Nothobranchius furzeri: one gene and its partner. The protein of the gene in region 1 interacts with the protein of each later gene in a pairwise test. Links are inferred from orthologs where the notes say so. Each region holds a gene or a part of one and is shown on either strand. Other genes may lie near its edges.

Evidence for each region. The genes of interacting proteins can lie anywhere in the genome.
Region 2: the proteins of serine/threonine-protein kinase 4 (region 1) and rassf5 interact in binary tests that used the Homo sapiens proteins (3 or more experiments, as listed by UniProt). The link is inferred for Nothobranchius furzeri from reciprocal best matches to the Homo sapiens genes STK4 and RASSF5.

Annotation. Positions count from the first base shown.
Region 1 is NC_091743.1:73,684,677-73,688,247, forward strand, and holds part of serine/threonine-protein kinase 4, read left to right. Parts: intron 1-1,660; coding exon 1,661-1,775; intron 1,776-2,263; coding exon 2,264-2,428; intron 2,429-2,618; coding exon 2,619-2,786; intron 2,787-2,868; coding exon 2,869-3,006; intron 3,007-3,170; coding exon 3,171-3,296; intron 3,297-3,433; coding exon 3,434-3,571. UniProt on the Homo sapiens protein: Stress-activated, pro-apoptotic kinase which, following caspase-cleavage, enters the nucleus and induces chromatin condensation followed by internucleosomal DNA fragmentation.
Region 2 is NC_091743.1:51,065,664-51,069,976, reverse strand, and holds the start of rassf5 (ras association domain-containing protein 5), read left to right. Parts: upstream 1-1,498; 5' UTR 1,499-1,627; coding exon 1,628-2,351; intron 2,352-4,313. Other genes in the region: ikbke (inhibitor of nuclear factor kappa-B kinase subunit epsilon), read left to right, coding at 22-88. UniProt on the Homo sapiens protein: Potential tumor suppressor. Seems to be involved in lymphocyte adhesion by linking RAP1A activation upon T-cell receptor or chemokine stimulation to integrin activation.

The sequences.
Region 1 (3,571 bases):
ACATTGTAAATTTGCATTTTTGGAGCATGACCAGTTTAAAGTCAGATAAAAATGTCCCATAGCTTTAACTAACTTGTACAACAAAGTAGTTAATCCTGGAGCTGACACTCTTTGTTAATACTGATTGTGAATTGATTTAAATCAAGAATCGATTTTGAATCGAATCAGCACCCCAAGAATCGGAATCGAATCAAACCGTGAGTTGTTCTAAGATTCACATCCCTACTAGCGATTACATATTAGTAACAAACGTGACTCATAAACGTGAACAAAATATTAAATAAGGAAGGCAAAAGTGGACAAGAAAAAGGTAATGCAGGATCCTGAGAAAGGCAGAATTGGTAGAAATAGCAGCATGAAAAGAAGGTAGTGATGAAGAATCAATAGAAGGTCCCACCAAAGCCTGAACAGGTGAGTGTAAAGGAGACCACTGAGTCCACTGATCTCAGGCTCAGGAGGAGAGAGCTCCAGAGTCTTTGGGCCACAGCAGGAGATGATCTGTCACCTTTGGTCTTTAGCCTGGTGCTGCACAACCAGTAGGCTTTGGTCACTGGACCTCAGGGACCTGCTGGGGGTGTAGGGACTGAGAAGATCACCAATGTATGATGGTGCTTGTCCATGTAAGGCCCTATAGACCAGAACCAGGATCTTGAAATGAACCCTGAAGTTGACTGGCAGCCAGTGAAGCTGGAGGAGAAGCGGGGTGATGTGGGTGTGTTTGGAGGACTTGGTCAGAAGCCGAGCACAGGCATTCTGAACCACCTGTAGCCGGTTCAGGGAGGTTCTGCTCAGACACGTGAAAAGAGAGTTACAGTAGTCTAAGCGTGAGGAGATGAAGGTGTGGATAACTGTCTCAAGTTCAGTGTGGGGCAGGATGGGACTCAGCTTAGCAATGTTCCTGAGATGGAAGAAGGAAGAGCGAACAAGAGAACTGACATGAGAATCCAGGGTGAGAGCTGGGTCAAAGGTCACACCAAGATTCCTGACAGGGTTTGGTGTGAGAAGCAAGCTGACCAAGAGAGTCTCTGACTTTGGGAACCAGCTTGTCTGGGGCACAGATGAGGATCTCTGCCCTCCTTTCATTTAGCTGTAGAAAGTTCCCACCATCCAGGTTTTGATAGTCTAAGCAGATGTGTAACAGCTGCAGCTTAGACATCTCATGGGGTTTAAAGGAGATGTACAGTTGGATGTCATCTGCATAACGATTGTAGGCGATTCCTTTAAAGGAGCTCAGGATGTGCTGAAGAGGAAGCAGATAGAGGAGAAAGAGCAGAGGCCCCAGCGCAGAACCTTGTGGGACATCATGGGTGAGGGAGTTGGTGGAGGACCTAAACTTGGAGACGGCCACAGAGAAGGATCCCTCAGATAGATAAGAGGAGAACCATTCCAGAGCAGTTCCTGATAGGCAAGTTTCTCTAAATAATAACAAAAAAAGATCTAATTTGAAGAGAACAAAGTTTTAAAGGGCAAGAATGGTCTCAGGAGGTTCAAAACAAAAATCTAAATGTTATCAAATACAGGCCAGTTACCAATGAATAAGATTATCAGTCAGTTATTTCAGGAGCTTGTATTTGGTAAACCTGTTGGAACATCATGAAACAAGTTTGTATAAATAAACAAACAAAATGATCCTTGTGATTAGACTCCTGTCTCTGTTCAGTCCTCATGTGGTCAGGTATTATGGCAGCTATTTCAAAAACAGCGACCTGTGGATCGTCATGGAATATTGTGGCGGAGGATCTGTGTCTGACATCATCCGAATACGTAACAAGACGGTAACTTAACACTCACACACACACTCACCTGCATGTGTTTGTGCAGCAGACTGTGTCAGGTGTCAAAGAGGGAAAGGCTGATGCTTTACCCATAATGCACGGGGAAGAATCAGCATGTAAATCTGACTTTCACCAGTTTGCTCAGCCATTTCTAATGTTTTGCTGTTGTTTTTGTATTTTATGGTTTAAATCCAGACTTGGCACTGATTTGTGACAATAACAAAGGTAGTTTTCACAATTTTAACATCCAAATAAACTTGGGATGCACCGAAAATTCAGCCACTGAAATTTTCGGCTTTCGGCCGAAACATCAAAACCACAGGAGACAACAGAGCCGAAACACCCATTTTGTTTCTTTCTTTCTCACTAAAAGTGAAATATGAACTGAAGCTGTTTTTGTTGTCTGTATGCACCAAGGTTGAGTGTTATAGGTTGTTGCTGTGGGTCACATCCCATAATAACCACATGTTTGTGTTTTGGCTTTATAGCTGACAGAGGAGGAGATCGCCACCGTCCTACAGTCGACCCTGAAGGGTTTGGAGTACCTCCACTTCATGAGGAAGATCCACAGAGACATCAAGGCAGGCAACATCCTGCTGAACACTGAAGGTCAAGCTAAACTGGCTGATTTTGGGGTTGCTGGACAGCTCACAGTAAGAAGAACCTCTGAGTTTAAACTCTGTGTTAAAATGCTATTTTTTAAAGGGAGAAAGTGGAATCTGTTGTCGCTTCTTACACTAATACAAATATAATGCATCTGACGTTAAAAAATCTTCTCTGGAGCTGAATTGAAAACGTTACCAGCTGCGTTTGTTCCCTTGGATTTTTTCTTGACCTTCTCAGGACACCATGGCAAAGAGAAACACCGTCATCGGCACACCATTCTGGATGGCTCCGGAGGTCATACAGGAAATTGGCTACAACTGCGTGGCTGATATCTGGTCCCTGGGAATAACCGGGATCGAGATGGCTGAAGGCAAGCCGCCTTACGCCGACATACACCCGATGAGGGTGAGGAAGGGGCAGTGGGTTTGTCTGAGCTCACACAAGTCAGTCGGTTAATGAAATGTTTTTGTTTCATTTGTTTCTAAAGGCGATCTTCATGATTCCCACCAACCCTCCTCCAACGTTTCGAAGCCCAGATCTGTGGTCGGCAAACTTTCAAGACTTTATCAGCCAATGTTTGGTGAAAAACCCAGAAAACAGAGCGACAGCCACTCAGTTGTTACAGGTAACAAATAAAAACTGGGAATAAGCAGTCGGTGTTGGGCTGGAAAACATTATTACACTTTCTGCTACCTATCTCTAACGGACATTTCTTTTGGTTACGACTGCATTTTAAAGGCATCAGACATTAGAAATTTCAGAGCCACTTTTGTTTTTTCCCACCTGCAGCATCCTTTTATCAAATCAGCAAAGCCCAACTCCATCCTGCGAGCTTTGATCCAGGACGCCATAGAGATAAAACTGAAAATACAAGAGGAGGCAGAACAACGAGAACAAGATGAAGAAGAGAATTCGGTACAGACATAAGAGTCTGATCCAATCTATAGAGAATAAATCAAATGTTTTACTTCCAGATTACAATCAGTCATTCAAGCTCAAGAGATAGGAGTGCTAACTCAGCTAAAATCTTCTCCCATCTTTGCGTCTGTCAGGATGAAGATGAGGTCGACCAGGGGACGATGGTTCGGGCACCAAGTGAGTCCGGAACGATCCGGGCTGCTGGTTCTTTAGCAGGTTCACTTAGCGGTACTATGATTGAACGTGCGGACACGGGAACCATGCAGTCACAG
Region 2 (4,313 bases), about 23 Mb from region 1:
ATGATGATTGTTCTGGTCCAGTAGTCTGGGAGCAGTGAACTCTTCTGCAGCTCTGGATCCAAACCCAGCCAGGCCCTCCACGCTGTGACATGGCTCCACCTGCATCGCCTCATTTTAACAGCCTCTGCTGCGCGGCGGACCGGTTCTCTAGATGGATGGAGGCTGTTATAAAAAGAGGAAGCTATTTCAAACAATCAATAAAATGTGAATCTCTGATTAAATGTCGGATGCACAGAGATGTGGGATAGGCCGCAGATGGATGTTTAGTGTGTGTGCTGATACCAACCTCGTTAATGTGTGTGATTGTATTTTTAATAGGCTGCCATGGTGACAGACTGTAGATGAAACAGCCAATGCCCAGTCAGCTGGTTTACTGGCTGCATTTCCTGTTTCTGCCCACTTAAGAAGCACTTGGGAATTTAACATATGGCCTCTATGAGAGCGTTTCGTAGCCTGATTAGGATTTTTGTTTGTGTAAATCAGATTTTCATGTTGGTGTGTTGATCTGTGTTTAGAAAATCATGATCTGTGCCGTCCTGACGGCAGTTTCCAACCATCACATCTGTCAGGATCTGTGTAAGGCAGACGACAGAGATTTTAAAAGGTGAAAATCAAATAAAATATTTATTGTCTTCGTCTTTCCAACTGTTTCAGATTTTCCACTTTTTCTGGTTTATTTGACTAATAAATTAGTAAAGAGTGAATATACACATTCTGTTTTAATATTCCTTTTTGTGTTTTTGATAAGTCATGTTTTTTTTTTCGTTTTCATTGGGAGTTATACCAACATGTAATTCCCCTCCATCAATGGTGAAGATGACCACTATTAGGGAAAGTCCGTTGGCGCCACAGTTCCTTAGAACACCAAAAACAGAAGTGCATGGGATGGCACACTTCAGTGAAAATATACCAAAAAACATTTAAAAATATCACGTGGTGTGGTCTGACCTTTGGGGAAAATAGTCCCCCCCCCCCTTTTTTTTTTAAACTAGCATAAGCTGATGTTGATTTCAGAAAGTGAGTGTAGGAGGAGTGTGTGTGCTGGGGGGGGGGGGGGGGGGGGGGGCTAAGGAGGCTGTAATGAACTGCTCATATGACGCGTTTGTCACTGGAAAATTACAAACACTTTCTAGCCCACACACATTATGTTTTAGTTCTGTTTTACATTAAGATAATATTCAAATAAAAACAAAAGTATTCACTCTTTTCAAGTTTATCTTGACTATTTAAAGAGAAAATATTTTTTAATCTAACATTTTATGTGTTTATGATTATTTTATCTGACTTGTTGTGAATTGCCCTTGGGTGTCTTGAAAGGCGCTTTTATAAATAAAACGTGTTATTATTTAACTGTAATTTTCTTTCATTACAAACTGTTTAGTTTTAACCTTCTGATGATACAGGAAGACCATTTAGTGCTCTGGATGAACCTTGGCTGGTGGGACAGCGCGCGCGCCCATCAGTGCGCCAGGAGCGCGCTCACGGCATTTAAAGCTGTTGGTACTTTGCGTCACGACGCGTTTGTCACTGGCGGGAGTTGAGTTTATAATCGAGGCACGGAGTCAAAACACGCATTTCTTCACACTCCGACCCGCCGAACACACAACCATTCAAGGCGAACGCGACAATGGCGTCTGTGAGCGTGGTGGGCCAGCAGCCCGGTCCGCACAGGCTGGACTCGGAACCGCCGGTGCTGCTCTTCAAACTCTCCGGCACCAAGACGAAAATCACCCTGCCGAGGAAGTCGTCCTGGGAGAAGATGATGTTCACCAGGAGCGGCGATGACCTGGAGCCGGTTAGGACCGAGGAGGCTCCTGGACCAGCCGGAGGAAGAGGGAAGAGAATGCCCAGGGAGGGATGCGGGGCCCCGGTTGCCTTTGATGCGCCACGTAGCCCGCACCCGGAGGACAGCGGCGGCGGCAGGTCACAGAATGGGCACGTCGATGGCTACAGCCACAAATATGACTCAAGTCGGCGGGGGGGCTCTCTGAAGGAGAACGCCATACTGACTCCAAGCGGGAACAAACGGTCACTCCGGCACCGGGACTCTCTGAGACGGAGCTGTCGGAGTGGACACACCGGTCACCAGAGCGTCTCCTCCGATGTGGTTTCCCCCCCGGAGAGCGGCGGTCTGCCGCTGGAGCGGCTCACACAGAGCAGGACAGGGATCGTGAAGCTGGCCCGGACCGAACCTCACCGCACCGAGGCCTGGTCCATCTTTCCGCAAGAGATGGATCCACGTGTGAGGACTGAAAGGGGCGAGGGTCACCGCTTCGAGAGCCAGCCGGTGAACCAGGACTGGTGTGATGTCTGCAGCCGGGAGATCAGCGCGCAGGTGGTCAAGTGTCAGAGTGAGTCAGGCTGAGAGAAAACTCCTCCAGAACATGCATTAGTGTACGGTTCTGATTCATTTAGTATATGAACACACACACACACACACACACACACACACACACACACACACACACACACACACACACACACACACACACACACACACACACACTAAAATGGGGACTTTGAGAGCGAGCCAGTGCTGCAGAAGGACATTTCTAATCGCTTTGTCCACGGATCCAGCCATATAAGCCCGTTATATCGCTCTTTCGACTTTGCCTCACAGACTTAACACGCAAGTAAAGTAGAAAAGATGGTGAATTTATGATGCTGCAGTGGTGAAACGCTGCAAGGACCTGCAGGTAACAGAGAAAAAGAGTCCCGATGTATCTGAGATGTGTGATTTGGCCATTAAGTGACTAAATTAGGCTTTTATTTTGTCAATCAAGACAAAAAAAACTTTAAATTTTATTTAGAAAAAGTCAGGAAACTCCAATCAAATGTAGACACAGATGTTGGTGTTGATCACCCCTAAAGAAGCCCACTCAGAGTGAGGGAAACCCCTGATTTCATGAGTCAGTCTTTCAGGGTTGTTCTCCTCCCACCTGCATTGGTGTTTACAGCTTTAATTTGTGTTGACATGTACACACACACACACACACACAGACGACCTGAAGAGCCTTTGTGGGTTTATTTGTGCACATACTGTACATCCAGTGTGTGTGTGAGTGTGTGTTCATGCTGAGCTAGCATTGTGTCAGCAGCACTCTGTCATGAGGAGGGTGGGATGAACCAAAGGACTGAAGGCGATGAAAGGAGTGAGGAGGGAAAGGGGAACTGATAAGGAATGGGAACACTTAAAGGATAATCCCTTTCAATCCCTCAACTGGGACACTTTCATCGGAGAATAGATGACACGTAGCTTGGTTTGATGTAAAACTGCAGGCAGGCTGAGAGAAAGATCTAATGTGAACAAAGGAGTTGGTCCGGCTCTGCAGAGCTGTCTGATTTAGTGTGCTGTTGGCGAGAGCTCGCTGGAGCGAGATTACTGAAGCAATAATCCCTCCACACACACACACACACACACACACACACACACACACACACACACACATACACACACACACACACACACACACACACACACAGGTTTTCACAACCCTAGAACTTCACTTGTGTTTTCCTTTCTCTTTCTCTCTCTCTCTCTCTCTCTCTCTCTCTCTCTCTCTCTCTCTCTCTCTCTCTCTCTCTCTCTCTCTCTCTCTCTCTCTCTCTCTCTCTCTAGCTTCTCTTTTTCTGGCCTGCAGCCTGGACGCTTCTCCTCTCTTTCCTCTAAGCATCCCTGGTGAACCTCGTGCACGGTCACGAGGGTAAACCACACAGTACACAGTGAGGCATTTTAAGGTATTTTAGGGGAAAAGAGAAACAAGCGAAACTGCCGAAATAGAAGAACACGTTATCGTCTCTCAACTACACCCTGGAAATGACAGGGAATATGAGACGGAAACAAATGAGCGTCTTTTTGTTTTGTTGCTTTGCTGCATTTCCTCTCATTTATTGCCCTCTCTCAGCCTGCTGCGCCTTTGTTGCGTAGGAATCCTGTAGAAACGGCGACGCAGCAGCTTGTCCCTCTGGGACTGTTGTGGCCTTGCCCTGCAGAGGAATCTGTCAGTCAGCTCCCAGTCTCGTCGTCCTCTGGCTTTCAACTACATCTGTGGGTTTCTTTTTTCTCTCTCATTTAGTTTCTGTCTTTATTCCTCTTCTTGGCAGCTAAATCATAGAGTCATGTGATAAAACATCCCAACTCAGCATGTACAAAGACGCTGCAGGAATATCTGAGCCATGTGTAGAGTCAGACTGTTACTGGGCAATAATCTTGTTCTGTTTTGCTGATTTAATAGGGGATGATATGAAAACACACACGTCACGGAGGGGAGCTTCTTAATCCCAGCTCTGAGTGTCTCCTGTCTGGGATTACA